2 linked regions of the Daphnia pulex genome follow. The protein of the gene in region 1 purifies or fractionates together with the protein of each later gene. This does not show direct contact. Links are inferred from orthologs where the notes say so. Each region holds a gene or a part of one and is shown in the gene's direction. Other genes may lie near its edges. The genes, in order: exocyst complex component 3-like and exocyst complex component 7-like.

The links.
Region 2: the proteins of exocyst complex component 3-like (region 1) and exocyst complex component 7-like purify together in Homo sapiens (affinity purification with mass spectrometry; 5 studies listed by BioGRID and IntAct, counting the BioPlex papers as one, with this or other methods). This does not show direct contact. The link is inferred for Daphnia pulex from reciprocal best matches to the Homo sapiens genes EXOC3 and EXOC7.

The regions. Positions count from the first base shown.
Region 1 is NC_060017.1:4,101,274-4,117,732, reverse strand, and holds exocyst complex component 3-like, read left to right. Parts: upstream 1-9,666; 5' UTR 9,667-9,818; intron 9,819-9,888; 5' UTR 9,889-9,953; coding exon 9,954-10,043; intron 10,044-10,161; coding exon 10,162-10,310; intron 10,311-10,392; coding exon 10,393-10,533; intron 10,534-10,809; coding exon 10,810-10,957; intron 10,958-11,035; coding exon 11,036-11,249; intron 11,250-11,313; coding exon 11,314-11,714; intron 11,715-11,782; coding exon 11,783-11,929; intron 11,930-12,005; coding exon 12,006-12,161; intron 12,162-12,222; coding exon 12,223-12,381; intron 12,382-12,444; coding exon 12,445-12,591; intron 12,592-12,652; coding exon 12,653-13,144; 3' UTR 13,145-13,202; downstream 13,203-16,459. Other genes in the region: transcription elongation factor SPT5-like, read right to left, coding at 1-321, 378-443; sentrin-specific protease 6-like, read left to right, coding at 984-1,012, 1,086-1,311, 1,371-1,806, 1,897-2,576, 2,685-2,833, 2,906-3,034, 3,103-3,433, 3,523-3,659 and 2 more; uncharacterized protein LOC124194259, read left to right, coding at 6,269-6,686, 6,839-6,930, 7,000-7,068, 7,132-7,206; UDP-N-acetylhexosamine pyrophosphorylase-like, read left to right, coding at 15,942-16,057, 16,133-16,293, 16,373-16,459. UniProt on the Homo sapiens protein: Component of the exocyst complex involved in the docking of exocytic vesicles with fusion sites on the plasma membrane.
Region 2 is NC_060020.1:3,975,780-3,992,182, reverse strand, and holds exocyst complex component 7-like, read left to right. Parts: upstream 1-9,157; 5' UTR 9,158-9,259; coding exon 9,260-9,289; intron 9,290-9,425; exon of another isoform or gene 9,426-9,448; intron 9,449-9,504; coding exon 9,505-9,670; intron 9,671-9,766; coding exon 9,767-9,960; intron 9,961-10,024; coding exon 10,025-10,142; intron 10,143-10,203; coding exon 10,204-10,301; intron 10,302-10,370; coding exon 10,371-10,511; intron 10,512-10,576; coding exon 10,577-10,739; intron 10,740-10,802; coding exon 10,803-10,990; intron 10,991-11,052; coding exon 11,053-11,232; intron 11,233-11,297; coding exon 11,298-11,541; intron 11,542-11,612; coding exon 11,613-11,758; intron 11,759-11,814; coding exon 11,815-11,885; intron 11,886-11,963; coding exon 11,964-12,075; intron 12,076-12,149; coding exon 12,150-12,386; 3' UTR 12,387-12,472; downstream 12,473-16,403. Other genes in the region: glycogen phosphorylase-like, read left to right, coding at 1-42, 119-264, 332-505, 592-738, 811-974, 1,033-1,147, 1,237-1,419, 1,484-1,609 and 4 more; transcription factor SOX-13-like, read right to left, coding at 4,537-4,687, 4,751-4,933, 4,991-5,139, 5,221-5,719, 5,788-6,050; palmitoyl-protein thioesterase 1-like, read right to left, coding at 7,065-7,190, 7,250-7,323, 7,404-7,500, 7,568-7,673, 7,736-7,894, 7,964-8,091, 8,150-8,259, 8,325-8,421; uncharacterized protein LOC124192964, read right to left, coding at 12,874-12,921, 12,990-16,132, 16,197-16,253, 16,316-16,403. UniProt on the Homo sapiens protein: Component of the exocyst complex involved in the docking of exocytic vesicles with fusion sites on the plasma membrane.

The DNA.
Region 1 (16,459 bases):
TACCAGACCATAGTTCTCAGCTCCATCTTCCCATTCTTCTTCATCTTCAACCTCATCATCGACTTCTGCTTCCTCCAGAATAAAACCACCAAATCTATCACTCTTCTTTCGCTTTCTTCTTCCTCCATTAACTTCTTCTTCATCTTCATCTTCTTCTTCCTCTTCAACTTCTTCGTCATCTTCTTCTTCTTCTGAATCACTGCCTCTATGGCGTTTACTTTTTTTTGCACCTTTATCCCTTTTCTTTTTCTTTTTGGATTTGTCTTTTTTCAGAGATTTCTTGTTTACTGCTTTGTGACTACGGCCACCAGAGTCATTATCCTTCAAAATTTAAAGGTTAGATTTCGTCAAGTAAAATGGAAATGTGTAAACCATACCGAACTTTCAGCATCACTGAGGGCTTCCTTCCTATCGGAAAAATTACTATCTTCGCTGTCCGACATGTTTTAATTGCTTGCTGAATACTTTTTTGAAGAAGAAAAACAACGATTGCACCTTAAACCAAACAATGCTACAACGTTTCAATGAGATAGAAAACAGGTAAATTGTTCTTTCTTTCCAACTATGTTGTTCCTAAATTGAATTCATCTGCGTCACTCACCAGAGGAAATTTTGCAATGCATGGATAAACAAGTTTGGGAGTCTTTACACGCCATCTATCCTTTGATTCGAAAGTATTTCGCAAATGTTTTCATTAAATGTAAAATAGGCCTATGGCTTTTCAAAGTTATCCATTTTAAAATTCAATAAATTTAAGGAAATTAATTATCTTATGTAGTTTTATATCATTCATTTCTGAAATAATTATTCAATTCAAATATATTGTTTGGGGTACCATAGCGCCACTTGCCACTAAGTATTTTGTCGTTACTTGGCCTACCTGGTTTAGTTTAGTTGAAACGGGAGAGCACATGAGACGACAGTCAATACTGCTGGTACTGCACAGATCTAACGAAGTCATATATCATAGCCTTCATAGGTAAATGTACTTTTCGGATAGCACATGTGACAGGTAAATCAGGATGAAATCATACTGACGTAGAACTGTTGATATTCAGTCCAGATGGTTGAGATTTTATAATTAGTATGGGGGAATCGAGTTCCAAGTCCGAACTTAGTGTCAATTCAAACCAGCGGTCAGTTTCGGTACCGGAGATTAAGGCTGTTTTAGTTTCTGAAAACATTCAACCGAAACTACTGAAACATAACTCAAATAGTAAGGGCATCAAGAAGATAACACTTCAAGAATACAGAAAACAGGTTGGTCACAAAGTGATCAATCAAAAATCCACTCAGAAACTTGGGATCACAGTAAGTTTTTGTTTCTTTTTTTACATTTTCTATTACAAGTAAACTGTGTTTTTGTACAGGGTAAACAAGAGACAAATTCAGAAGAGAAATGCAGTGGGCAATCACCAGATCCAGATAGTGCTAATTGCCCCCACTGTGGACATTTGGTTTCCACTAATAAATGTATGAGGTGCATGCGCGTCTTTGAAAAAGAAAAAACGGTACCTCTCACTTCAAATCTTAAGTCATTACCTGGAAACAAATCATCCGGAATCTCTCAGATGTCAAATGATTCATCATATGGCTACCGACGCACTCGGACTCAAAATGCTCAACCTTCAAGACAGAGTAGAGCCAAATTTGAGGAGCCACAGTGTGTAACACTGAGTAGCGATGAAGATGATGACTCCTTTCAGGAAACCAAAAAACTCAAATGTGATGGTACCGACAAATCAACTGAAAAATTGGATGTTAAACCTTCAATTGTGATTCAAGAACAGCCAAATATTAAAGAATGTTAGTTAAACACATTTATTTCCTCTGCTGGTTTTTCTTATTAATTTATCTTACTTTTTGTTTCTTTTAAATTCTTTGTTTTTCTTCTAGGTGAACCTTTAAATGGTGTCTCAATGGATTTGCCTATTGATGCAGAAGAGGAAATTGGATCTAGTGATTTGCTCCGTTGGAAAGAAGGTGGATTGAATGGACCTTTCTTTGCCGTAAACTGCCGATCTGTTCGTATTGGATCATATAAGATTACTCCAGTGGGACGTGTGTTATTCTCATCCGAAGGAATTATGCTGCAAGCTCCAGTTTTTCACAACCACGATGGGCCATCAGAAAAAAATGCTGTTTGCGTCAATGTAGCTATCCCAAGTCAGCAACTATTAAAAGTGGACGCTTTTTTCAGCCGAAAGCTTCAAGTCATCTTCCTAAATGTTGGTCCAAGCTGGTGTCGCCAGCTTTCAACAAAATTAGGGTTACCCAAAAGTGGCCCATATTGGGATTCTGCTAGCGAAGACGAAAATAAAAAACGATTGACACTGCTGCCCGATGGGTTGGACGATGCAGCGAAGAACGCAATCAAACAAGTCTTCGTTCCTCAAGGTGTTTACAACGAAATTAATCAGGCCGAGGCCAACCGGCTCTTGGTTATTTCCTCACCCCCAGAAGTTCGTGATGCGCTTAAACGTCTCCCCGCGACCACTGCTGTATCAGCAGAAACGAGTGTTTCGACAACTGAAACGCAACTGAATGGTGGCAAAGACGACACTAGCAAAGTTGAAGTAAGTAGTCGTAATGCTAATACCAATAACTACGCTATTGGTTAAGTGTGTACTTCGTATAGTTGAAAGCCGAATTTGTGCCTAAAATCAGTCTTCATTCTCTTCTAGATACGAATAACCAGGGGATCCAGTAAATCTCTCGCAAGAACTGTTTTGCCAGTGACTCCAATGTTTTCCTGGTCGGATGGACCCGACCGCTTCTCAGTAACCACTGAAGATTATGCTTGTTTAAATCAGGACAATCTACTAAATGACAGGTAAATTTGGCATTGCACCGTTGTCTTTTTCTGTAATTACCTTTAACTATTTGCTTTGTTTTTCTTTTGCAGTATCATCGACTTTTATCTTCGATACGTTTTCAGTACTAAAATTGATGAAAGTCTGAAGAAGAAATGCCACGTATTTTCATCGTTTTTCTACCAAAGGTTAACGACTCGCCCACCCAAAGTCAATGGACGGTACAAGCTCTTAATCTATTACAACAACCATTTTGAAGTGTAATTACTCTAGAGATGAATTTACGCAGGAAACATCCAATTGAAGATGACGATTCCCTTTCGATAAAGGAGAAACGTCATTCGAGAGTTAAATCGTGGACAAAGAAAGTGGACATTTTTGAAAAGGATTATCTCGTGATACCCATCAACGAGCGTAACCATTGGTTTCTAGCCATTGTCTGTTTTCCTTGGTTATCAGGACCGGTGACCGCCATAGACAATCAACCCATCAAACTTCGCCCCCAACAAACATACTCCAAGAAAACAACCGCCGACTTACAGAGGTCATTTGTGGCCGTGAACGGTGAATCGTTTCACATAGGAAATACCACAGTTACGCCTGTTAACTCAAATTCAAAGGTATTGATGTCTGCCTTTATTAGTTTAAACGAGTCGACATGATAAACGAACCAATTTGTTCTGTTTGCTTGTTCTTATCCGTTCTTTAGTCGACCAAAGATGACCAGATTACGTTGAATGTTGACACAGAAAGAGACGAAGCTGAGAGCGACGAAGAAGAATTATCATGTGCAATCGACCGCACTCCAGTAGAAAAATTGCCAGAGATTGCTGGTCCTATCAAACAGTAATTCAAATTCATTTTTGTCTTTTAATAATGCTTTACAGTTTGCCTTTAGTGTAGTGTTTTTCATGCGACATTCTTATGTTTTATTCTTGTATTCTAGGCCTTGCATCTTATTTTTTGATTCATTGGCGGGAAGCGCACACAATCGAGTTGCTACGACTCTTCGCGAGTATTTAATGGTGGAACACCAAGTAAAGAAAATGAAGCCAAATGAGAAATCAATTGTTGCTTTCAGAAGGGACGCCGTTAAACCGTCAACCAACCCCTTTACTAAAGACTCGATGATATCGGCATGCCTTGATGTGCCTCAACAAAATAACTCGTACGATTGCGGGATATTTGTGCTTCAATACGCAGAATACTTTATGATGGTAAGTTAAAAATTTTTTATTTAATTTTTTTATTTTGCTGAATTAATGTTTTTATTTCATCAATTCAGAGTCCATTTCTGGATTATAATTTACGGAATATAAAACTAAGCAATTGGTTTCCACCTCATATTGCCGGAAGGAAAAGAAAAAACATCCAGTTCTTATTGATACGGCTCACCAAGGAAACGAATCCTTCAGCAGACCAAGTTCTGACATTGTTACCTCGAGATGACGTCAGAATTGCACTTCAAGACCGTAATAAGACTGCGGCCGCTACAAATAAAGAAAATGGTGAAATTCATAGTGAAAATAAGACGGAGGCGATGGAGGAAGACGGCAAATCTGAGGTGTGTCTCGATAAAGAAAAGGTTGAAAAGGGAGCCAGCCCATCAAATATCGTGTATGACCAAGAGGCGAATAATGAAATGGAGAAATAGATTTTTTTTTTCTTTTTTGTTATCGGTTTGTCGTTCTCCTAAACTAAAAAAAAAATGTTTCGACTGCGAGAAAAAACTGGTTACCAACGTGAAAGGTTTCAAAGTTTGTTCAAAAACGTGACGTCAAACACATCGTCAGAATCAGAATATCAAAGTCGTGCTCTAGCTATCGTTCATCAGCCATGAAATTAATTGCCACCGGACATAAAAGGTAGCGAAGAGAATGTTAGGCTCGGTAGTTTTCAGAATCGGTATTGATACTCTTGGCTATTCTACGGAAATCTTTTGTTTGTTTTCCCTTGGTATCCATTCCATTCCGCATGTGATCTTTCAGCCGTCACCGTTATATTCCGAATGAAAAGATCGATAATCGCTTTATGAAAACTGCACACGTTGGTAATAGAACTGGGCCTATAAGATGGCATATATATTCCACCTTTTCCTTGGTATGTCACAGGCACGTGAGCTCATTGATGTCTAATTGGATGTAGGTACAACCGGAAGGCCTTTGTTGAGAACATGAAAGGAAAGGCTCGAATAAGACGATCTGCTTGTACGAATGTCGATGACATGTCGGCGGCTAACGAAAGTGGCTTAATTGTCACTGGGTTTTTTTTTGTCTGTAAATCAACTCTGGAGTGGGATGCGCAACCAAATCATCCCGTTTCAATTGAAAAGGCGGCGATTGAAGTTGACATCGATTCACGCGTAAGATCTAAATCTAATTTAGTCTCGAAAAAGCTACTGTCAAATCATTAATTCAATGTGTAGCTTACATTTATTGTACTTGTACGGGTGGGGGGAGGAAAGTGGTTCTTCTAGCTAATGGATAGATGGATAATATGCTAACAGCATGAATAATGGACGTATCTCATTCATGAGCAGCCAGTCGAACTGCCGATGGAAGCCAGGGGGAAGTCCTGAGCAGAGGGACCGTGCTGTATTCCATCAATGTTCTTTTCCATTATGTTGTGTTGGCGATTCTAGCGAAATATTCTTTTCTTCCTAAAGATGCCTTTCCTTCAACTGGTGTTATTCAGATGCATATGTGACCATTATTTTCCAAATATAAAGTGATATACTGTAATCATGGAAGCAGTCCAAACGCGTATTGGTTGAATACACGGTTTTGCCAAGAAAAAATATCACGCAGAATCCACCTATTTAGTTGTTATACGTTCATATTGAAACTCTACACTTTTACAAATGTATACATGAAATAGGTTGACTTAACAGATTGATTAGTAGGTAAAATTAAACGCAATGATTAATATCCAAATAACAATTCGATGTAATAATTAAAAAACCGTTTCAAGGGAAATGAATTCTTAAAGGCTTCCATGCCGCAATTGAATTGCCGACATTGAGGGTCCCAAATGATAATGTGCACCTTGCAAAACCAGTTGGCACAATTTTGGCTTTCACCTCCTTTCATGCAGCTGTTGGATACTTGGGAGGCTTTTCAGTTTCTTTACAGTATATTATGAGCGATGGTGTGATGAAGCTGACAGAGTCTAATCTGCATGGATTATGGAGACTGCGCGTAGGATCGGGATATGGACGAGAGGAGAGCCTTTCTTTATGTCTTGCTGCTTCCTCTCCAGCAGCATCTATAATCCTATAAAAGAGACAGCCATAGAAAGACAAGGAATCACTCTCTGGCTGCTCGCACCGGGATTGCAACAGTTTTATAGCTCCGTATTTTTTCAAAAGGTGTCAAAATCATTTGAGTTGTCGCATCAGCAGCAACATCACTTATCAAACCAAAGGCGGAAACCATCATCTCACAGCATCAGGAGCGATGGATTGGAAAGTTTTCGTACTAGTGGCTATTCTGCCTTCCGCCCTGAGCCTGCCTATGGAATTGTGTTGTCAGAGTAGCAGCAGCAGCAGCAGCAGTATTGCTTCTTCTTCTTTGAATGTCAAACTCGACTCATCGATACCTGTTTCAGATTCGGAAATGCTGGAGCCGTTCATTAGCCCATCGATTAGCAGCAGTTCGAAAACGCCGGATCCGGTGCTGATGCTGATGCCACAGCAGCACCAAGAGTCGCCGTCGTGTTGCGGCAACGATAACGATCTGCCGACAGAAAAGAAACAAGTCAAGAGAACACGAATGAAAATTCGTGGCACCACCAGTAGCGGATTACGTCGAACCAAACGCTTCCCTATTCATCTCGATCCGCTCTATCAGTATCGGTACCTCGCCAGATCGGGCCGTAAGTCTTATATCATGTCTTTCGTAATTTCTTTTGTAATGTCGACCGAACCGAGTTGATGGTATATGCACAGATTATCTGGTATCTACTCAGACAGTTTTAAGTTTTATGAATGATCTGTCGTTGATTTATTATCCGCATTGTTTGTATAGAATGCCCAACGGCGAAGGACGGCCAACCCGAATTTTATTGTCCCACGCCAGACCGAAATGGCAATTGGCGTTGCATCGACGACTTCCAACTAGTAGGACGCTTTGATTCATTATAGTTTTCTTCGAATGAATAATACTCATGTGCACTTTCGCGATTGTAGTGTGACGGTGTGCGTCACTGCCCGAATGGCGAGGACGAACTTCCGGTCTCCTGCCTCTTTTATCGTGTGGTAAGTTACTTGGATTGATCGCTTTGCACAGATAATTAAATTTGTCTTTTCGTTTTTTAAAAGGTTGAAACTCATCTTTTGAGCGTAAGCCAACGGCTTAACAGCGACGAAAACCGACAGCGAGGTGTCCCTCGCTAAAGTGTCCATCCTATAGCCGAATTCTTATATGGTCTCATTATAACAAGCCGCTGCCATTCGTTGTTCTGATTAGTTCCACGTTTCTATGGTAATTCCCGACCATACGTCTATAAGAATTACAGTGCTAGTGTGAAGGCGCCTTATAAGACGCTGGAAATTCCACGAAACGGGACTGGATATGGACACCATTGTGTTATAATTCAGAAAGTTCTGTGCGCAGAGAAATCATCAAATTATTTCATATCATCCTTTCTTGAAAAGAGAATGAATAAATGTCAAATAGAATTCTCAAATTAAACCTCGCGTCGCATTTTTTATTGACACTCCAAATTACGCAACGCTTAGTAAATAAAAACTGAGTTAAAATTCCAAGGGTGATGAACAAATATATAGGTCACACCTCGAAGAAGATTATTCATTTATTATTCCGTGATGTAAAGTTAATTGATTTCTGTGAATTGTTAATAAGCCAGATAGATATCTAAAATATTCATCCATGCAACGAGAAGTTGCGGTCCCAGGAATCCGCAGGAATCGCACGTAAAGACCTTGAAGGATCTGGGGAATTTATAATTCATTCCTAGCCCGGGCAACGTCGTTTGTGAAGACGAAACATTCGAGTTCTAAGTAAGGAAACTCATCCCCAAAACAAATGAAATGGCTGCTCCGAGTATAAAACATGAATAAAAACAACCCTTGGTAGTTGATGGACCTTCATTTCAGCGCTCTATATCGAAATACAATGGATGTAGAATCCCCATCTGGATATGATATTTTGCATAATGGTTATAGAGTGGGATTACAACCGATGCTTCGTTGCGGTCTCATCTCACGGTCGGATCTCCTCTCCCGGAGAGCGGCATTGGTCAGATCGACATGTTATTGCTACGGCAACTCTTAAGCGACTACGCATAGACGACAACTATGTTGTATTATACGGTAGATTTCGAAGGCAGATGGCAGAATGGATTCAGCAGATGAGAGGTATATATATAAGTATAGATGCACGAGCTGCGCGGTCATCGTGTAATGTATGCTGAACCGGGGGTATGTATGTACGGGGGCCGAGCATCAAAGCTGTTCTCTTTCAGTTTGGCTGGCTGTCTCTTCAAATCGTGTGTCAATCTGTTTGGATCGGACGCAATCTGTCAGTCCAGACAAATTTGACCTTTTCACTATTGCCATTAAACATGACCATCGATTACTGCTTTTTGCCATATTATCCTTTCTAGCGCAAGTAGAATGCTACAATGAATCATTTGCCATCAATTTAAAAGTATAACAAATAAATAAAGACTCCAGTTTGGGTTTATCGTAGTAGGTTATACATGGCGGTTGAACATCCGATGCAATGCTGAACGAATGAATTTACGAGCAGTGAAAAGAACAATACCGCTATTATGCCATAATAACGCCTACGGACAATATGCTAATTAACATTTGATGGAAAGAACAAAGTTTCGTCCTAATTTGCGTAAGATACTCGACGAATTAATGCAGCGCCTACGATCCTACGTGAAACAACAACAGTTTTTGTTCAAGAAATCGAGCATCAGATGTTTCTACAACGAAACAATCGCCTAAAAGTCCCGTGGGTTGCCATCTTTATAAACGATGCGTTAGTTTACATAATCCCGTTTTGTTTTCGCTCTGTTTTTCAGATAATGAGACGATCCCTTTTTTTTAGCAAGTATCTCCTATGTATTTTTATTTACTCGATGTATTATTAATGAACATCTTTGACGAAACAATCAACTTACCACTCTACATTTTAACAGGCGTGCTGTGTTGCATTATCATTTCCGCAAAACTAATTGGTAATTGGCTCAATGCTATTATCCCTTTATATTAAGGCAATTTGTTAGGCTCACTTGTTGTTTTACGCACAAACTATAGGATAAAACATAGTTGGACAACGTGCTGTGTTATAATAAGATAAATATTTGAAATTGGGCATTATCAAAAATCGTGAGCATAACGGGATGACTACCGGATGTGTAATTAACGTATAAAATCGATTTTCGAAAAAAACAAAGAAAAATAAAATGACAAAATGTAGAGTAGGCTACCTACCTTCCCAATCGATCCTTTCGCGTTTCCCCCTTACTAATACGGCGCTACGCCAGCCGTTTTTTTTTTTTTTTTAACTTTTAAAATTTTAATTAATAGATTAACCTTTAGTTACTTAAGAAAACAGTCAGCCTACTCGTTGTTATCAAGTGTCACACCCTACACACAAAAAACAAAAAACACCGTGGCTTTTCCCATACTAAGAAAAACTAATCTATAAGATATAGGTCATAGGGGGAGAAACCGAAAAACGCGAAAGAGATTAATTCATATTTAGGTGGGTGCTGTATTTTGTTAAGATGATTTCAAAGATATTGCGTAATAAATAGGAGAAAAATTAATTAAAATAAACCGGCAAAGGCGAGAAGAAATATTGGAAAATCGATTGTAAGCCCCAAAATCGATCTCTAATGAACGCCCAGTCGGCCCAGTGACGAAAAACTGCCAGAGTGACAAATCATGGAATAACAAATAATAATAAAATATTTATCTTAAATATACGAAGGTGATAATTCTAGCAACCACAAGGAGCGGAGAATCAGGTAATAATTGAGGAATCACTAAAATAACCCAAAACTGAATAACAATTGTGACAATTGAATGTTAAACTAGGTTGTCAACAAAACACAAGTTGTTTGTTGTTTTCTTGGTAGTTGTAGGTTTGTGATAATAGAGAAATGAATATTGAAGTTCTTCAAGAAGAGGCAATGCTCTCTGCTTCTGTTTCATTGTCATCAATGTTGCAGCGCCCTGATCAGCTTGAAAAGGTAAAAGCTCATTTTTTGGATTGTTTCCGTAAAAAAACCTTAAAATGTAAACAACATAATTATATGTTATAACCTGATGTTATGTTTATTTGTTTTGTTTTTGTTTTATTAAATTTAGGTGGAGCAGTACAAACAACGAGTAACTAGGAAAAAAACTTCAGTTGAAGCAATGCTGAAAACAGCTGTGCAAAGTCAACTTGATGGTGTGATAAGTGGGCTGCAACAATTGCAATCAGCATTGGTTGATATTAATGACATTCGTCATAGGTATCAAAGCACATTTAAAAATGTTCACAGATGACTTCTAGACTACTACAATTATTATATTGTGTTATGTTGGCATTTAAAGGTTACATGAAATTGAAGAGTGTGTCACAACAATTCCCACACTATGTGAAAGTGTTAAAAATGTAAGGCAAGAACATGTTGTTTATTCACAATATGCTGTTGCCATGGAAAATTTGAAACATATTTTCACTGTTCCAGAAAGGTAACTTTTACATAGTTTTTTAAATTTTAAATTACTGTTTTTCTTTCAATTGAACTACTCTAACTAATTTTCAATGGCAAAATTAAAAGACATAGTTTATAATCTGGGATACATTTTAGACTTTAGTCACTAGCTGCAAGTTATTGGCCAACTAAACATGAAAATATGATGCTAAATTAACTTAGAATTACCAGCTTAAATATAAGAAACTTAGAAATGTTATTATTTCATTATCAATATAGAATATAACCATTAAAAATCCGACTTTTGTTCTAGTGTCGATAAAACTCGCCAGTGGATATCCGAAGGAAAACTTCTTCATGCGCATCAAAGTCTTACGGATCTAGAGAACTCACGTGATGACTTGCTCTACGAACTCCACAGGTTACCTAATCATTCTTTGCAAGATAAGCAAATGCTTAAGGTCTGAACATATTTTCTATTTTTATTCGCACGATGTAAATATGTAATACTCATTTAAGGAATTGTCTCAATCCGACAGGCGTATTTTTCTGGAGTGCAACAGTTGTCAGAACAATTGGGAAAGCAGCTGTGGTTACTTTTGGGTAGATCTTTGAACACAGTTCGGAAGGAACCGCAAGTGATTGTTACAGCAGTTCGAATTATTGAGCGGGAAGAACGTGCGGATGCTTATGCGGTGCAGCGTCAAAAGCAAAGTGGATTCTTGCCACCGGATAGACCAAAAAGATGGAAAGGTGATTTTCAAAATGTTAGTGCACATTTAACACATTTAATCTGTCTTATTATATCAACTTTTAGCAAGAGCACTGGAAGTTCTATACGATGCGGTCGTTGAAAGAATAGAGGGCAATCAATTCGAAGAGAGAGCTGACAATAAAATGTGGCTAGTGCGTCACCTTGAGGTGACTCGTTTGCTGATTATCGAAGATCTTCGTGTGGTGAAAACTCTGTGCGCCCCTTGCTTTCCTCCTCATTGGGATATCGTCAATCAGTTTTACCAGAAATATCACACGAGCATCAGTAAACACCTCGAAGAAGTGATTACAGCTGGCCTGGTTGGCAATGAATTTGTTACACTGTTGTCATGGGTGCTACAGACATATCCAGGTCCAGAGCTTCTCCGACACCAGGATGTCAACATCGACCCTACTTCCTTAGGGCCAATTTTGAGCGATTCTACCATAGAAAAGCTTTTCCAGGTAGCTCCAGAAATTTGTCATAATCTGCTCCTTTATACGTAACTTATGACATTTGTACATTTATTTAGGAATATATAAGTAATATGGCCTCAAACTACAACGACTGGATGCAAAAGACTGTTGATGCAGAGGCCAGGGATTGGAGACGACCCATCGTTCCGGAATCGGACGGCGATGGTCATTATCACACCGAGTCGATCGTTATCATTTTTCAAGTAATTATTCTTAGTTTCTTTTGGCAAATCGTGATGTAAAACGATTATTCACTTTTCGTTTTAACTCATTGTTTAGATGGTGGAGCAAAATCTAAGTGTGTCGCGTACAATAAGCAACGAATTGATGATGCGGGCATTGATTTTGGGACTGGAACAAATCACGCAGTATGGAGAGATGTACCGAGAAGCGATAAATCTTTTCAAAAACAAACACTTTGAAGATAGAAGCCAAGTATTTGCGTCGCAATACAGTTACATTTAGTGAATTACTAATTGGTTCTCTCTCTTTCAAGGTGCCTTATTTTACACACTACATGATCGCAATTATCAACAACTGCCTGCACGCGATGGAACTTTCTCAGCAAATGAGATCTCGGAATGGGAATAAGGGTGATCAAAGTGGCACTTCATCATTTTTCAACAAATTCGAAATTCTTAGCCAAACTTACGATGTAAGGCCTATAACCTATTACTAGTTTAAAGAGGACCCAAACTAATAGTGATTTGAAAATCAGAGCCTTAGGAATGAGGCAGCTGGATTTTTGCTAGATGAGGCTTTCCTGGATCTTGAACCACACTTTCAGGATCTGTTGACTCGCAAATGGGTCCTGTCGACCGTTCCCGTGGATACCATTTGCGCAACTTTGGAGGACTATTTTCAGGTGAGAGTTATTTCCCCGTGCCATTTGAAACACCACCGAGCTAATGTATTATGTATTTCAGGATTACATGCACTTGAGGCCACGCAATTTTGAATACGTCATCCGGCAAGCTGAAATATGCATCACTCGAAAATACATAACGTCCATTTTCCAGAAGAAGCTGTCGTTGAAAGACGAACGAAGAGAAGTAGCGGACAAAATCATCCAGGAAGCTGGGCAAATCGAAGCTCTTTTAGCTCCTGCATCTCTCAGTCGTGCTTTTTCGGCGGATGCTCCTAAGGTCACCGAAGATGCGGCAAAGGCGATATCTGCTTTGGCCGAAGTCATCAAATGTGATTCAGAAATTATAACCCTGGAGCTCATAAACTTCATCAAAAAATACCCCGATGTCAGTCAAGATCAGCTCACGTGTCTACTGAGTCTTAGAGGAGATTTTGGAAGAATTGAAGCCCGCCAAAGAGTGGCCGACTTGTTGTCCAGCGGCTCCAAAGACGAGAGTGCTAGATCGACGATTTTTTCTTTGATTACTGTTCCAAGTTCCATTTTCTCGTAAACACTCTTTCTTTATCTACGCATGTTATCCGATTTAATAAAAATGCTACAGCATTCAATAATGTTTGTAACACCAACGACGATATTGCATTTTCAACGTGTCACAGTTGAATGCGCGTATTTTCCGGGGGTTTCCAACTTCAATTACGGTTCCTTAAGTATCATAACGGCAAGTAACTATGTGTGCGTCACCGAAATAACGTTAAATTTAGTTTTGGCTTTTGGTTTATAGTAAAAAATCGATATGCGTTCTTCCTTACCAAAAGGGAAGCCTAGTAATTTCTCAAAGTATAGCCGTGTTGGGATTACATTTCAAGTAATCTAAACCGATTTTTATACCGTTCATCTCTTGTACTGTTTCACATCTTCACGAGTTATTGTATGTGGCCTAGGTGGCTTATTGGCTTCATTGCTACACAAGGATTGTAAAATTTCCGTTATCCGAAAGTGGATGAATCGAATAGTAGATAAAAATGAACGGTGGTTGGTGGTTTTTTAGTCAAATGTGTGTACGTGTATAGAAATAGGGCAACTTCTCGACATTTTCATAATATTTAGACCGCATTGAATTTCAATTTTAAGCTATTTTCTCCCCCAACAGTGAAAAGGAAACTCAACTTTACTTTTATGCTGCCTTTTAGTCTTTTACTTCGCTTGGAGCTGGTTTGCTTGTGTGCTGAGTTTGAATTGAAGTTAAATGTATCACCAGTAGATGGCCTAGAAGCCCGCTAGGCAAAAAAAAATGAAAAATAAACAGCTGTTTGCACTAGTAGCTGACTAGCTGTTAGTCTGTTACCTTTTTCCTTACGAAAAACCTATGCCGAAACATTACATTTTGACGTTAAGGTGAACAGCGTTTGCAACATGGCTTCAGTTTGAATACTTGGTAGTAACTAGTGCACGGAAGGTGAGTAATAATATTTTCTCGTGGTTTCTATTGCCTTGCCAAAACCGTTTGTCTATTTAGAGTTTTGTGCATCATAGACCCGTTACTCAAGTCCTTTCAAATTAATGGTTCGGTGTTTAGTTTAAAGTTACTTATAGTGTGAGGTGTACTGACACGTCATTTGAAAATTGAAATACTAATCTACCTACATGTGTCACCACTCATCAGAAGCAAAAGTGACATGTTTATCTTGGGCGTCGTTGGGACCGTTTTTTTGTAGATTACGACTACTAGCAATTAAATTGAGTCGGTTACTAGAGATAAGTTCTTTTAGGTGTTTATCGTTAGTGTATAAATATCGGGGATTTTTTCAAATGTCAAACATTCTAAAGAGGCGGTAAAATTGTAGCAATCACAGAAGGAGCACGGTTGCAAGAAAGCGTATATACATTCCACATGTGTCTAAAATATGATGCCAACAAAAGGAAATGATTCAAATGACTAATCTCAGTGCTTTCATCAAATCAAATGATTTCAAGCTGAACATCTTGAATATGCATAATGCCATTTCTTAGAACACTATATAATGGATAGTCCTAAGAGTAATTCCAATAAATGGAATTGATAGTGAATATGTTTAGATTGTTTTAGGCACCGAGGTCACCTAGCTTAATTACGATCGTCCTACATATTTTTGTTATCATTCTCTAGACGTCGACATTTTTCCTTGCCACTTTTATCTTCGCAACGTACATATTTGTATATATCTTTACACAATAGGGAATTAAATCGAGCTTAACTTGAAACAGTAATAATTCTGAATTATTTTATTGTCGTGTTTCTGGGGTTGTATCATTGAATGAGAACAGGTTTTGAGTGTAAAGTGGAAGTTCCGATGGGCATCCTACTATCCTAGTGAAAGTCAAATCCAACGTGCGCACCAATTACGGAATGATTTTGAAAGCATATGACCTTAAGCACTGCGATGCAGTAATGCTCGTAACTCTAAGGCTATCCAGATAGAATGCACATTCTCCTTGAAAGATAACATATTCAACTGATATCCCGAATGTCTTTTTTTTAAATCGTAAATGTCACGTTTCTAATGATAGATTTGTTATTTATGAAATTATTGCTAGTGGCTCGTAGTTAACCACCGCTGACGTTAGGAATTTTGGTGGATCACGAAATTGAGAAAGTTTACAATCCCGAAAAAGAATTGGGTGACTGAAGCGTAATATTTAATGCGCTTTTAAAAATCTCACGAAACTTCCGGATCACCTTGATACCCCAAAAACTTTAAGGAAAAACACGAATTCGAAGTATCTCTGTTGTTTGGGCGTGCCGCTAATGATCCAAGGCCCTTACAACCGTACACTTTCTCTTGGTGTTTCTTTTTTTTTTTTTCTTTTTGCATATGAGAATGTCTAGCGGGTGTATACAACGGTGATAGTCGTTATAAATTATTGAGGGTCTATGTTGCCAGAGCCAGTTGATAACCGGCAGCAGAGACGATAGGTTGTTGTTTTGTTCATCTCTCTTCGTAATCTTTTGTCAGTCGTTGTGTATTATAACCTTGTTCTTGCGACTGTTGGAGCGGCAGACCCTTTCCTGTTTTGCAGCTCCTGTCCTTTCACTGAAATCGGTACACAAGAAAGTTATCTGGCTAGTAGTAGTTTTTTCTTTCTAGCTAAGTATGCCAAGTGAAAGGCAAAAAGAGAACCATTGCCAGAGAGGTTCTCAGTAATTATGTTTTTAAAATTAGATTTGAGTGACTTTCTCATGTTCGATTGTTTTCGCTATGATTTTGGGTTACTTTAAGGCAAAGAGAAGCTAACTGTTATGGGAATTGTTCATCCATCCAATAATCTTTAACGGTTTCATCCCTTCTAGTGAAGAAAATTTGAAAAAAATGGATGTTACCCAACTGGAACAGAAATTGAAAGAACATGGACAAGAACACCTTCTCCAGTTTTGGCCGAGTTTGTCTGAAGAGGAGCGAAGCCGATTGCTCCATGAACTCAACGAGTAAGTTTAGCATTTCTTCGTATTATAAAGACATTTTTTTGCGGTGCTCAACTAACTATTTTCAATATTGTGTAGCATCAACATGCCGGAGGTCATTGAATTCTTTCGCCACACGATAGCATCGGCAAACGACGAGGAAGAAAAACTGGACGAACATTTGCAGCCGATTCCACCTGAATTGCACGGGGCAATTACCCGGACCAGCCCCGAACTGTTGAGGCATTACGAACACCTTGGTGACTGACTTAAAAAAACTCATTAATTATAGTCGGAAGTGCATGATTTGTTATTGAGTTGATATTTTTTTGGGTACAGCCATGGAACAGATCGGCCAAGGTCGCGTTGCTGCTCTGCTCCTAGCCGGTGGACAGGGGACACGTTTAGGTGTCGATTACCCAAAAG
Region 2 (16,403 bases), on another chromosome or scaffold:
TGTGGTCTGCCAAGTCACCACAAGATTTCGATTTGCGCTTCTGTAATTTCTAAATCATAATTAGGCCATGAGATTTCTTAATTATTAATTTTTTATTCTTTTTTAAAAAAATGTTTAGTCAATGACGGTGATTACATCCAAGCCGTTTTGGATCGTAATCTTGCCGAGAACATCTCCCGTGTCTTGTACCCCAACGATAACTTCTTCGAAGGCAAGGAACTGCGTCTAAAGCAAGAGTATTTCATGGTGGCCGCCACCCTTCAGGTAAGATTAAGTTACTTGTGTTTCTACAAATGCAAGTGTTAACACATTCCACGTTGTCTTTGTGTAGGATATTGTTCGCCGCTTCAAGTCGTCCAAGTTCGGATCGCGCGAAGCTGTTCGTACATCCTTGGACTCGTTCCCAGAAAAGGTTGCTATCCAGCTAAACGACACTCACCCGTCGCTCGCGATTCCAGAGCTTATGAGAATTCTTGTTGACATCGAAGGACTCACATGGGAAAAGGTAAATTGTTATTTTCGAGAATATTATTTTTTTGCTATCTAATCAAGTTCTACCACGAATCTTAATCTTGAAATTGATAATTACAGGCTTGGGATATTACCACCCGTACTTGTGCTTACACCAATCACACTGTTTTGCCCGAAGCCCTTGAGAGATGGCCCGTCAGCATGCTGAATTCTATTCTTCCTCGTCATCTCCAAATCATTTACGAAATTAACCACCGCCATCTTCAGGTTAGTATTAATTGCTTTTGATTTTGAGGAGTTTGAATGTTCAATCCTTAATTTATTACTTTATTAACCCAGTGCGTAGCAAAGGCTTTCCCCGGCGACAGTGATCGCCTTCGTCGTATGTCAATGGTTGAGGAGGAAGGAGAAAAACGTGTTAACATGGCTTACCTGGCCATCGTTGGATCGCACGCTGTGAATGGTGTAGCTCAGATCCACTCCGACATCCTTAAGCGCGACTTGTAACTATCCACATGATGTCGTATGAAAAGCTGTGGACATTAATCAATTCACTTGTAGGTTCCATGATTTCTATGAGATGAACCCCGAGAAGTTCCAGAACAAGACCAATGGTATCACTCCCCGTCGTTGGTTGTTGCTCTGCAACTCGGCTCTCGCTGATGTCATTGCTGAAGTAAAAAAAAAAAAAAAATTTTTTAAATTTCATTTAACGAATACGAAATGACAGAGTTCTAATTATTGCTTTTTATTTGTTTTATAAAGCGTATTGGCGAAGATTGGATTTCTCATTTGGATCAGTTGACTCAGCTAAAGGCGCTTGCCGAAGATCCAGTTTTCCAACGCTCTGTTCAGACAGTCAAACAGGAAAACAAGATGAAGGTGGCCCAGTATCTCCAAAAGGAATACAACGTCAACGTCAACCCGGCTTCTTTGTTCGACATTCAGGTTCGGAAACCGTAAATAATTTAATTTGAATATTTTCGTCTTACATTTTTTTGGTTGTCAACAGGTTAAACGTATTCACGAGTACAAACGTCAACTTATGAACGCTCTCCATATTATTACGCTCTACAATCGCATCAAGGCCAACCCAAGGGCTTCAATTGTTCCCAGGACAATTATGATTGGTGGAAAGGTATGTTATTTAACCTTGGTAGTCTACACATTGAGCAACGATTACTCTTTGTTTGTTTCTTTCGTATTTAGGCTGCGCCAGGTTATCATATGGCCAAGAAAATCATCAAGCTTATTTGCTCAGTCGGCCAAGTGATCAACAGCGATCCTATTGTTGGCGATAAGTTGAAGGTTATCTACTTAGAAAACTACCGTGTTACGTTGGCCGAGAAGATTATTCCTGCTGCAGACCTCAGTGAACAGATTTCTACTGCCGGTACTGAGGCCTCGGGAACTGGAAACATGAAGTTCATGGTGAATACTATTTTTATTTTAAATCTTTTTGTTCGGGATCGGAAGTTAACTTGTGTGTTCTTATTTAACTCATCAGTTGAACGGAGCTTTGACTATTGGTACACTTGATGGCGCCAATGTTGAGATGGCCGAGGAAATGGGAATGGACAACATTTTCATTTTCGGTATGAAGGAGAATGAAGTGGAAGATCTGAAAAAGCGAGGCTACAACGCCTTTGACTATTATAACGCAAACGCCGAGCTGAAGCAGGTTGGTTTTCTTAATAAATTTACGATCCAGTGGAATAATATCTTAACATAGCAAATGTTTTTGTTTACTGTTTTTAGGTGATTGACCAGATTGCTTCAGGATTCTTCAGCCCGAACAACCCCGAAGAGTTCCGTGATATCTACAACAACCTTATGTACCACGATCGTTTCTTCTGTCTGGCTGATTATGACGACTACATGGCCGCCCAAGAAAGGGTTAACGAGGCCTACAAGGTAAACACACATAGCAAAGCAATTTTCGAAATAAAAATGAGCTAATATATTTTGTGTTATTGGCTATGCAGGACCAGAGCGTCTGGATGAAGATGTGTATCCACAACATTGCTTCATCTGGTAAATTCTCCAGTGACAGGACTATCGCCGAATACGCCCGTGAAATTTGGGGCGTTGAGCCTACGTGGGATAAGTTGCCTGCTCCTCACGAGCCTATTGAGGAAGGCAAATGAAATGTTGAAGCGTCTATTTTGTCACATTTGCATATTATAGGAGGAAAAGTTTGCAAAACGTGTTCACAGTAATCATCACACAATCATGTTACAACTCGACTAATCTTTTGTAAGTGGAAGAGTTGTAACCCGATTGAATAATGTGTGGGAAAAGAACGATCTTGTAAATCTTTTAAAGCCGTCTCTCCAGACTGTTGTAGCCACAATGTCATTTATTGTTCATGTTTGTTATTTTTCTTGAATTCTAGCTTCGATGTTGTTCTGTTTCTGTCACAGAAAGAACTTTAATGTGAGTTTCCACTTCTTCTCTTACCATTTTAAAACTATTGTGGTCATTTTCAAAATCCCACCTTGTTTTCCTTTCTTTGTAGTCAAATGTAATGAGAATGAGGAAATAGATATAAATCCGCATTACAAATCTCACAGAACATTCTTGTTTACGATTGTGTATTTTTCATATTGTTCCAACTTAAAGTTGCACTTTCAACTGGCCCTCGCGGAGACAATTACAAAAACCAAAGAAGAGAAAGTAGAACGGAGACAACATTGTGAATAGATTATGCACATCTAATTAACGTCCATTCCAAAAAATCAACTCGGTCTCAAAATTCTCATCAAAGAATACCGAGGTATCTAAATAACCCTTTTAAAATTTAGTTTTTTTTCACGATACAAACGATTAGTTCTAGAGAACAATTTCTTCCTGTGTTTTTTTTAACGGAGAGAGATCACGCTCGACCTTGTTCAGAAACGAGGCGAAAAGCATCAGAGGATGAAAATTAAGGTTATCAAATTGATGCTGAGGGCGAGTTGTGCAGCATTTCAATTGGACAGAATGGCGAGAGGAAGACACTGAAACCACTGATAGTTTTGTTGAACATTTTGGGCATGTACACCCATGAAAAAGAGTAAGAAAGAAAGAAAAAAAAAGGGAGAGTTGATTGTAATGCACTTACGTCTTCTTGCAAAAGCGGATGTGATAACGGAGAAGGAACAAAAAAAAAAAATAAATTCAAAGGTAGGAAGAAGAAAGGCAGAAAGAAGAAATTAACAGCTCAAAGAGCAGACCGAATCAAAAGTCGAGGGATTTTAGAATGCCAAATCTGTTGAGATCAGGGATATTGGCATTCTTGTTTGTAGTTAAAGTTCTTTATACGAATTAGAGAAGAATTCACTTTCAAACCTAATTGTGCTCTTCTATCACAATTTGGTAAAAAAAAATTGTAACACATTCTTGATTGATTGTCGCTGATTAACGACGTCGCCGAATTGACATCGATAGACATAACATCTTCTGGCTCTCATCAAATAAATATTTCCTTTAATCTGAATAAAAAAAGGAATACAACATCGAACAAACAAGCTTCTTATTTAGCCTCAATGGCAGGAATTGCAAAAAAGGGGAAATTTCTTTTTTTTTTTTCTTTCTGCGTAGTGATCCTTGCTGGCTTAGGCCGTGACAAAGATCGCTCATCATCAGCACAGTTCCTCGTCCCTAACCCCCTGTACTCCGCAAGAACTCTCTGATTCTTTAAGCTCCGAAGCCTATCAAGTTTCCGAACCGTTTAAACTTAACAAAGCCAACATTCTCGAAATGCCTGATCTGCGAGCTAAGCTGCAGTTGATTCCAACGGGACAACATAAAAGCTTATCGAACCCACTTTTCTAAATTTCTTTAGACCAAATATATACATGTAACATCAAAGCCATTCAACAGAAAGGAAAAGGTTTTCTCTTAAAAATTTTCTTAGTCGCGCCTGATCAAAACTAAAATGTCTGCATTTACGTTCGCGTGAGAGCTGAACCGGACGCAAAAAAACATGCGAGTGATCGTCTCGTCGAATCTGATCCCATCAACCCACGATTCAAAAATAAGCGAAAGACAAAGGATAAAGAAGATGAAAACAGGATAGATTGTCTAGCTTGTGGACTTGGAACGCTTACGCTTCCAGCAATCGGGAAACAAACGTCGATATTCTTCAGCTCTCAAGTGTGCCTCGGCGGTGTAAACTTCTTTTTCTGCTGGATTCAATCGTTTCCATGCATCTCCTAGCATTACACTGATGGCCCTGTTAAAACAAAAAAAAGGAGTTTAGAAAAAATTGTCAGAGACGAAATTAATGGATAATCACCTGTTATCACGTCCTGGGAACTGTTGAATGAGCTGGAGGCGATATTTTTGAGCGAAAAGCATAAATCCATTCATTGGGCGTTTAGCAGGAGAAGGGGCCAAGCTAGAGGACGTATCCTCACTCGTGACCTGATAACGTTTTTCATTATTCTTGGGTACTGCTGGTGGCATGACGAAATCGAACCTGAAAAACAAACATATTATTGGTTTACTTTGCATTGGAAAATATTGACAAATTTACCGTTGCAATCTTTCGCACAATTCGGATGTTCCTGGTTGAGGCTCGCTGTGTACGTAATCCTCCCTAGAAAGGGGCCCTCCATGAAATGTGTCAGATTCTTCTCTGCTTGCAGCAATATTATCAGGCGATTCTTCTTCCATTTCATTTTCCTGTGAAGTGGAATTAAAGAAAAAGAAGACGAATTGTTTTTAATGGTCACATCAAATGTTAAATTCTGAAAAGCGCTATACCTCCAATTTCCACGGACGACACTGGGCTAATTCTTCTTGACTGCTGCTGTGCAAAGATGGGGCGGGACTGAGCAATGATCCTGACCAGGAATACGATGAAAGTTTTGGATGAAAATGGGGTGGGAAAAAGGTTGAAGTGGGAGGGAAATTCATAGGAGATAGTGGGCTAGGAGTGGCAGGAGTGGGAAAGGCAGGACTTTGAGGAGCAGGGTAAGTGATCATGGTCTTTGTCTCAGAATACACACAAGGTTTTTCTTTTGAAGAAGTTTCAATTGCTACACTTTCTTGGTCGTCCTTTACTCCCACATTTGAGCTCATGTAGTCACCAAACACATCAGATTGATCAACTGATTCTTGTTTGATGACTGATAAGCGGCTAATATGTGGGCTGGTGGGTATGAACCCATAATATGTGCTCCGTTGCACAATGGCAGAAGATGGACCAGGACTAAGTGAATTGCAACCACTTTCATCATGAAATGTGGTCCAACTAAATGCTCTGTAAAAGAAAAAAGTTATGAGGAAGATTCAAAATACAATCAGGAGGATCAAAAATAAATTTCTAACCTTTTACGAAACGGCAAGTGCTTTTGATTTGAGCTAGCAGGACTTCTTGGGCTGGCTGAAAAGCTGATAAAGTCACTAACACTTTCTGAGCTGGTTAAATCCAGTGGTCCCCTTTTGCTTAAATCTAGTGGAGGCGGGATGGGCTTGATTTTTCTGATGGTCTGCTTAATGCAATGATTGTTTATCACTGTGGGGGTTGTTTCATCGGGATCGCATCTTGATGCCCTCCCATCGACAGCCCCCTTATCGATTTGGGCTGCCATTTTCTATTGAAGTTTATGTTAAATAGTTTTACAAAAGAAGGACAAAACATATCCCATGCACATGCTATAAAGATAATTTACCTTGCTTGCCCTGATGTTTCTCTTCTGGACAAAGCTTCACACCCAATCGTGAGCAGCCATTGTTTATAATAAAAATGACATTAATGTTTGCCGCTAGATGGCATAGAGTCCAGTTAATAAATTTTACGCTATATTTTTTTTAAATTATATAAAATTAAACGATAGGATGGATATCAATCACCATATAAAAACAAATTACCGATAAGAGAATATAAAGGAGATATATTAGCTCAGTCCTGATTGACTTCTGCACTATTCCATATTGAGGAACTCTGTTTGAAAATGAATATGAAAATATCTCGGAAATTTGAATTTTGGTTTCTTTAGTAATTGACGAACAAATCTATACCTAATAACCTCAAAATCCCAGGATCAAAGTGACAAAAAAAAACAGTCCTCCAAACACAAACTGCAAAACAAACAAAAAACCAACTTTATATTGAGTAGGTCGTAAATACTTGTTGGACACTAATGTGTCTGCGCATGTCGACAAGTGTTCGATGCTAGTCTGGACATCCTCGTCGTTCTTTGTATATAATCTATGGGAACATGCGTCAATAGGAAGTTTGCTATTATTAATGTAATTTTTCACTGTTTAGGCTACGCATGTTCCCTTAATGATATTAAAATCGTGGGAGATGTCAGTATATGTTATTTTGCAATTGGAGACCGTCTTTTGTTCGCCGGGACTTGTGACTATTATAATAACTTTTTATAAATAAGAAGTTTCTCGCACCGGGGCGCACGTATTAACTAGCTGGCAAACGCTACCACTTTTTGACGAGGATGTTGTATTGATCTACCAATAGTTTTAGAATCGTTCAGCCGCCGATATCGGGATGAACGATTATTGTAGTTTATGTATAACATGACGTATCAGACGGAAACGGTTATAAGAAAAAATTATCACACATTTTTAACAATTTCAATCATTTATCGCAAGAAATTATCAATGATTTCGTTTTTAAACCATGCTTGGCTAAATTGAATATGGTCACCTTCCACTTGTAGGAAATGGAGTTTTCCTTCATCATCCATTGCACGTAAACCAAGGCGATCCTAAGAGATTTTTTTTTAAATGTAATTAATAGAAAATTGTAATGTAAGACACGATGTACTTCAAGGTAAAGTTGCGAATCTTGAAGAGTGTAAGTTGAGTTCAAATCATTCTCCTTATAAAAACCGAACCATTCTGCACGGATATATTAAAGGTGAAGAGTAACACACTGTTAAAAATGTCGCGATTCAATTGAGCTTTAAAGCGGCGCGTACCTGTTTCAATTGGTTGGACAACTGTATCTTTAGTAAACTTAACCATGACGAAGTTTTTCAGTTGCTTAAGGTTATTTTTGTATGTATCATTTACAGACTATTAAAAGAAATAGCAGATAGTTTCGATTTCAGTTAAAAATAGGACCAATGAAAAATTCTCATACCCTTTCGTTATTGATATCCGCAAGAAATACACTTGCTTTTTTGTATGCCTTTTCATCTAGTGGATCATGCCAATATTCAGCAGGAGTAACAAAATTTTGAATCCATCTTGATAAAATTAGTTCTGTTAAAATTATTTTTGTAAATGTATAGGTCTCAAGTAGACAAACTTTTTGTAAGCTCCATGATTAAGTAGCGAGCGAACATAGTCACAAAATTTGACATCATCTCCTAGACAACGGGGTAACCCATATACACCTTGGTGTTGAGAGCCTAAAGTGACTAGATTTACCATCGGAGGATCAGGGCAACGTTGAGCTACAGCTCTCCTATAATAAGCAGAAAATTAAAATGATTCAAAGATAATCTTAACTATTCAACAATAAAGATATAATTACAAGAACTGCCCCCCTTGAGATACCCCTAATCCATGATATCCTAATGCTAATTTAGGGTCATTTTTGATCAGATCACACACAAATTCAACTTGATCGTTTGCATTCTTGATGTATGCATTTTCAAAATCCTACATAATATTGGAATTGTTGGTGTAAATTTTTAATTGAGCTATACTGAATTAATACCTCACGAATGGTCTTGCCAATCTTCAGCGAAATTACATAGACCTCAGGAATTTGTTGTTGTATAAATTTTTGTAGGCCCCCAATACTCAATGGATTGCAGCAAACATCACCTACATACCCATTTCAAAATTTATCATGAAATTGTGAATGAAGTAGAAACCTTAAATGTGATTACCTAATCCGTGCCAGATCACAATTGGTAGTATTGATAAAACCATTTGACAATTTATTAATAAGAGGAAAACACACATTAAGGGAAGTGTGTACTTCATTCTTGATTCTTTACCCAAGGAGGACTACTCATACACTTACGGGGTCAAGCTAATAAGTTGGCTTGGAATTTAGACAAAGCAGTTACGTAATTGAATTACAACCATGCACGAGTTTCTCACGTTGACATTTGACATTGACATTTGTGTATTTGACATTTCTTGGTGCTGGGCTGGCTTCAAAATTTATTCTTTTTTCAAGGTTAGTGTTGACTATTTTCAACAGGTGGCCAGGTTGGTTCATAATCGATCTCAATAGAGGGCTATTCAAGCGATCTTAAAAAAAAAGAATGTTGCAGGAAAAACAACAAAATCGTAAAAAGGTTATTAAAATAATTTAAAGTCGCTTCAAAAAAACGTAGAACTGCGGGTCATCGAAAGGGTGACGGCAAAATAGTTCACGAGTCACCACCGTTTTGGAGTTTTCCCATTTTTCTACGACACAACTTCCGTGAAAACAAGAACCCATTTAGAACTTAGTAAAATCAGATTTCCATTTTACCTCAGATTACCTTTTACCAAAACAAACTGGTATATCTGAGCGCTTTTTTTCTTTATGAGCCGTATTTCGTCATTAGCCACATTTTAGTGGGGCTCGGATTGCTCCCATGTGCTTGCGATTATAATGGACTCAACGTTGAATATTTTCTTCCATAATAGACGGCGACGTCTTTTTTAGATTTTTTTCTTTGTCCAACTTCAACTTGACGCACCAATCGAGGAATTTACTTTTTTTTGTTAATTACCTATTTACCTACCGTCTACCCTACCGAAATAAAAGACCGTTTTTTTCTAGCCGGTAGATGGCGAGAAACGAAACAACTGACAGAAATTCAGCAAAATGTCAGATTTTAATCATAAACATGAAAAGGTTACTTTTTTGTTTTATATAGGCCTACTTAGTTCTTCTTTATATCATTTGATTTTATTTGTTTTAAATACTAATTTTAAAGGTTTGAATATTAAACTCAATTTCTTGTTACAAAATTCAAATTTCTTTGCTGTGACTGGATACTCACATATATGACTGGTTATATTGACATATTGTATCAAACAAATAATGGGTTTAATTAATGATTGGTAAAGGTGCTGACAGGACTAGTCTTTCTTCAAGATGCTGCTTCTAGAAGTTCTCAGCTTACTAATGGAATGGTCAATATTTTGACTTCATTTGATGAAAGGCTTGCGAGACTTGAAAAGACCATTTTACCAGTCTACAATGAGACAAAAAATTTGCAACAGAAACAAGAAAGTAAATTATTAATGAGATCTCATATAATATCAATATTTCTTGTATTTCTAAATTTACAAAATCTAAATTTCTTTTTAACTTTCTTCGTGTTTATAGACATTGATAAAACATTAGCCTCTTTGGATCATGTCATTAGCTATTACAGTGTCAGCAAGGAAGTTGAGCCTGTCATAAAAGAGAGCCCTTCAAGTCAGGGTCTAGAAATTTTTCTCCAATCCCTCGGTCGATTGCAAGAAGCTATGCATTTCTTTGAGAGAAATAATCCACAGAGTGTGGAGTTAGAAAATGTTGTAAGTTTCATTTTTATTTACAATCACCATACCTTACAAACTTAAAAAACAACTTTTGTATTAGATGAGCCTATTTGAAACTGGCAAAGATAATATTATCAGCGAATTTAAAGAACACCTAGCAAAACATAGTCAAACCATTCCTGCTACAGCACTTTTGGAAGCTCTAGCAAATGATGAAGGTGAACCCCATTTATCTATAACTACCTGAAAATTCAATGTAATGTTCCATTTTCATTCCAGAGGAGATAAGTATAAATCACTTCTCTGCAGATGTGAAAGACAATTTGATGCAAATAGCTGATTGGCTTGTAACTCACAATGAAGATGACTTCATGAATGTAACTTGTAATCATCAATCATTAATCCACGACATATTAAATAAACTTTGTCACTGATTTACTTTCCAGGTTTACGCTCGGTTTCGCGCAAATACTGTGCAGAAAACCCTTCTTGGCCTTCGTGATCATTTGAGAAGTTCATCTACTGGGGTATCGAGTCACCAAGGCGTGAGTCCCGTAGCTGCCATGTCGGGAACGGCTACATTGCTGGTAATCTAATATTTATTGTGACTACTATTAGGCAATATATAATGAACTTCTTTTATAATTTTCAGGCAAAATCAGGTGTCAAAGCCAGTTATGACACTCCAAGTAGAAAGACATCTAAGAAACTACAGCAAATGCTTGAGCGCAAGGCCAACCAAATGCTTTTGAAAGCTTCTCAAACGTTGGAAAGCTCTACAGGACTGGCTTTGGGCCCCAGGAGAAGCGCTGCGGGTGAGAAGACGAAATTAAATTTATTTTACTTTTTCCCAATTATCATTATTGTTTCTTCTTCAGACAGTATAAAAGAAGATGCTGTCGAAGAACACGAAATCGAATCGTTCTTAACCGAATTCACGGCACTTTTGCGACTACTGCAGAGTGAACTGAGACTTATGTTGGGTATTGTCCCTTTGCCGCATCAAAAAGCTGTTCTGTCTATCATTCTCAGAGACGCATTGGAAATGATCTGTCACGATGCCGAGGTTGGAAATATTCTTGATTCAATTTCATCGGTTAGTCATTCTTGTACTTTACTAATTTTTAGAGCTTAAGCGGCCGAGCGCGCCGAAGTGTTTCTCGTCAAGAGTTCGGTCCCGTTTTGCTTCTTTTTCCTGCCTTACGCCATTTAGTGTGTTTTAAAGGCGACTGTGATAAATTGCTGGAAGGATGCGATTCTTCTGTTCGCACACGATTTTACGCAATGGTTAATAATCTCCATACAACCGTAAGCTAATAACTCACCATAATTTAGATTCGTTTTTATCACTGTGTTATTTTGTGATTGATTAGTGCGGCAAGGCCCTTGAAGACTTTGCAGAATCTGTGCGTTCTGAATCTGCAGCTCCATTGCCTAGAGATGGCACGGTCTATGAAATGACGAGCAATGTCGTTCTTTTTCTCGGCCAGTTGACTGATTTGTCTGACACAGTCGGTCCGCTTCTCGCCCAAGATCAAAGTTATTCCAACGCATTGGTACACACTCAACCCTGGCCGAAACCTCAGAGAAACAAAGCTTTACTAGGACTTTATATCAGTAATTCATTTTTCTTGTTCAGGTTTAACTTAAAATCTGGTTTGATTAACAAATTACCCTTTTTTTTTTAGAAAAAGTGTTGGTTCAACTAAATTTAACTTTAGTTACTAAAAGCGATGCGTACAGCGATTCTTCTTTGCGCTATATTTTTCGATTAAATAACAGCCACTATTTGTTAAGCGCACTACAGCGTAGTGGCCTACTAGACCTGTTGAAGGTAAAGCACAAAATTGTAGTCAAAGTAAATGTAATCACATATTTTGGTGTTTTTAGGTTGTGGAACCAGAATGCGAGCCGATTTACCGAGAAATGATCAACGAACAGAAGAGGCTTTATTCTCAAAGGTATTGATACTTTGTTCCTTTCCTTTGAATTTTTTGTTGAACTCACCGTTACTATTCAATTAATTAAATAACCTACAGTTGGAACAAGGTCTTAGCCCCAATATGGAATTCGGAAGATGTTCCAGCATCTGTACTTCTTTCCGGCAGGTTACGGGAAAAGGATAAAGCTTTAATTAAAGAAAAGTTCTCGGTAGGTCTTCAAAAGTTAAAATATAAGCTTTACATGTGTTAAAATGTTGTTTTTTGATCCGATAAATCTTTTAGACCCTTAACAAGGAGTTTGAAGAATTGTCCAGAGAGCAACGAGGTTATTCAGTGCCAGACGTTGAGCTTCGCGAGAGTCTGAAGCGTGATAACAAAGAGTACATCCTGCCGAAGTATCAGGCTTTCTATGACAAGTACAGCAACGCGCAGTTCAGCAAACACAGTGAAAAATACATCAAGTACTCACCGGCCCAAATTTCATCGGTAATCGATACATTTTTCGACGTTGCTGCATGATGATCAAAACGATCAAGGTTAACAAAAAATCATCCTGATTGTATTTTCAACACCAAATTTAAATTTATTAAAAAATGAAATTACAATAGCGACAAGTCTGAATTCTATTAAAACAAAGAGGAAATTATATCCTTCAGCGATGACTAAACAGCATGTACACACTTGTACAGGCACATTCCATTCCATTTCACAAATAAACAAAACCTGCTAAACGTTCAACTTTGACGTGTAGAACAGGAGACACATGAGAAAAATAAAACGGCTCTACCTTGTTTTGTGCATAATACTGATGACAGCTGTTGTCTTAGAAACGTAGCACCGCTAGATTAAACTGAGCCACTCGAAGGACGTTTAAACGCATCAAACAAATTCTAGAAAACAGATAGGACGCAACACTTGTCATCAGAAAATTCAATTTTGTCACTCCTTCACACCCGAGGACTAGGATACTATTTAGGGTCTTGGTTGGTAAGCCTTCGCGTTCTCGTCAAGCCTGTTTTGAGCACGTTTTACCATGTTCATCCCAATGCGCAACCTACAATCGTTATTTAAAAAAACAAAACGTTACAAAACAAGTATACAATAACTGAATTGCGATATTACCTGACAGTCACGGGAACAGTAGAATGTGGTTTGACACCCGCTGCACTTTTGCTGAGCTTCTTGTCCACACTTCAGGCAAGTGTAAAGCGGGTGTTGCTGTGGCTGCGGAACATCTCGTGAGAGTCGACGAATGGCAGGCTGTCTAGCAATGTCCGACTGCTGGCCAGGAAAATGTCTTTGCGCTTGAGCATTAATTGGCGGCGAAGACATGGGCATATGGCGTTGCTGCTGCATGATTTGGTGTTGTGCGTTTTGCAAGGAATGGGCTTGTGAATGTGGAACTTGCTGTTGTTGCATTCCGCTCAAGTGATGTGATACTGTCGGCTGATTTGTCAGCTGTTGCGAGGAAGATTGTTGTCTTATTCGCTGCTGCTGAACGGGTGCTTGTGCTTGTTGTAGGTGCGATCCAAGAATGGACATATTTTGCTGGCGCGAGGGACTGTCTCCTGCAATAGGACCAGCCAAACGATTGTGAAGTTGCTGAGATGAGCCCAATGACTGTTGCGAACCATTAGGGTGCATGTACTGGTGTTGTAGTGTCGCCTGTTGCTGCTGTCGATAAGGCCCAGCTTGGTAATTGACGGGTGCTTGCATCCGATTAGACTGCAGGTTTTGAACGTATGCTTGGTGTGCAGTTTGCTGTGCAGTTTGTTGTGGCCAAGTAGAATGTGGTGGTGGAACTGTTTGCTGAACCGCAGGCATGCGATGTCTACCTGTGTACTGTGCGTTAATTATAGGTACAACAACAGCAGTATTTTGCACTACAGTTGACTGATATGCAACCATTCCGTTATTCACGGAGTTGCCAGTCCATCCTTGACGTGGCATACCGGGATGTCCCTCCATCGCAACAGTGTTTGGGCTGTGTTGTGTAGGACCAGGCGTCTGCTGATTAACCTGACGATTTTGATTGGTGATCATTGTATTCAGCGCACCGATGGGCGAATGATCGCCTTGCGTAACAGTGTTAACTGGAGTCCGGTCGGCTGATGAACGTTCGACTGAATTTTGATTACTAGCTTGCATTTGGTTTGCCAATGTTGGAGATCGGAATGCTTCTGGAGTAGCTAGATGGATCGTAAAAGTCGGCATCGATGATTTCCCCGATGAGGGAGAAAATTCTACGCGAGACGGAAGTATAGCTGACTGATCTTTATACTTTGTCCCAATGTCAATAGCGGATCGCAGGTTGTTTTCTAACATTTGCTTCATATAAGTTGAATCCACGGCTGCCATTCCGTACCAATTAGCTTTTTGAGCTTGATGAATGATCGAATCGAACAGTAGAGCGGCCGTAGTATTCTTCTTAAGCATTAGCCGATAGAAAGGTATAAGGTAATCTTTCATTATCCCAGCACTTTGGCGCAACAATGGGTTATCACGGGCAATGTTAGAAAAATCCTTTGAACAGGAATAACTGCATTTCCAGTGGGTAAAATTGCGACAGCCGTTCACAATTTCTTGATACAGAATCGCTTCATCATCCGAATTAGCCGTTGGACTGTTTGGATTAATAAACTGGGCATAGAAGGGGTAAGCTTCACTTAAAGACTTCAAGGAAATAGGGTGTGGAGACAGAGCGAACGAAGCTGGAGTTATATTTTGGCTAGTAGATGCTTGAGTAGGTTCAGGATTGGTCAAGTTTTCTACTCGGAGAGCAATAGGATTGCTGGATGGCGTAGACTGAATGATGGATGGCGATCCAAGTGTCGTGGTTGTTACGTTAGATAAAGTGGGACTACCACCAGCAACTGATGTACTCGGTATTCTCAAACACATTGGCTGAGTCTGAGGTGAAAAATCAGTTTCCATAACGACAGGAGATGGCACTTCTGAAGAAACAGCAACAGTCTCTATGATATGATATGTTGACCCTGTATCTTCTATCAATAAGTTTGATAATGATTCAGCAACTGTCACTGGTGGTACCGTAGTTGGCAACTGTTGTGCAAACGGAAACTGATGAGGAGATTGTCTTGAATCAGGTGAAGTTGGATTATCTAATGCAGAATTCTCCGGCTGCGTGGCAGGTTTCGACGCAGTTTCTTCTTTTTTTTCTTCTTGGATTTTAATTGGAAGCAACTGACACAGTTTAGGAATCAAATATTCAAATTCCATGTTGTCGTCTATGACTGCAATGTGCTGTCTTTTCACTTCAATTTCTTTCAGTTTCTTACAGTATTCAATTTTGATGGACTCCTCTTCAATGTCAACAATCCGTAGACATTTCCCCTTTCCATCGTCTGCAAGTTCACTCAATTTGGACTTGATATTTTCAATTTCAGAGGTAACTTTGCTTAGGTATTCATTCAACTCTTGGCTCATTTGACGAGCCTCTTCCAAACGTTTCACAAGTGTTTCGTGTTCTTCATTTTTCTGTCGGAAAACCTGTTCGGCTTTTTGATGAATTGCTTCTGTCTCCTTATGCGTAGCTGACTTATTTGCCACCTGCTCTGTTAGATCAGCAACGAGCTTTTCATTGTCACTCATATCATTAAACAATGGATGTGATTCGACAAGCTTAGTGTCACCCAAATCAAGCTGCTGTCGGATCAACAGCACTTGTAGCTCCCTAAGCTTGATTTCAGTTTGAAGAACCATGTGATGAGTCCTTTTCTTATCCGCCGCTAGTCGGTTGCGTTCTTCACGCGCAACATTGACTGCGTCTGACAGTGTTTCAACCAAAATGACGTCCGCGGATATGGCAGTATTTTTCACGGTTAATTCTTCTTCCAATTCTTTAGACTTGAGTAGAAGTAGCCGCAGTTCTTTGCCCAACGTTTTACGCTCAGCAATAATTGCTGACAATGCGGATTCGATCTCTATTTTTTCCAATCCGATTTGCGATTCTTGCTGATCAAGCTGCTCAGTTGGGACATCGATCGGCATGCAGCACATCTTCTTAGCCGGCGAAAAATTTTCATCTGAACTATTTTCATTATCTTTGTCTCCAATAATTGGCAATATGACTTCTGGCTCCGTCTCGAGATTAGCAGACACAGGCGAACTAGGGATTGCTGTTTCAGGAACTACTTCAACTCCCTGTTCAGATGCAGATGCAGCAGGTGATGCGCAAATAGCGCTTTCTTCTAAACCTTCTCGTGGAACTATCTGATCTTCTACTCTGTCGATTAGGTCATTTTCTGTTAAACAAAAATTGTTATCAGTCAACATATAATTCCACTGAGACAACATCAAAATGCAAACCTGGTTTCTCAACTTCCATTACGGTGGAACCATCTGCTTCAGAATTTTGTAAAGTTTCTGGAAAATATAAGTGTTAAACAAAAGCACTTACAAGAAGAGCTCAAGAAATGCTAAAGTACCTGTTTCGCTTTTTGATGTAATTAAAGCTGTTTCATTGGTCGTTTCTGTGAGGCTACTGTCGACCACCGATGAACTTTGTGCGTCATC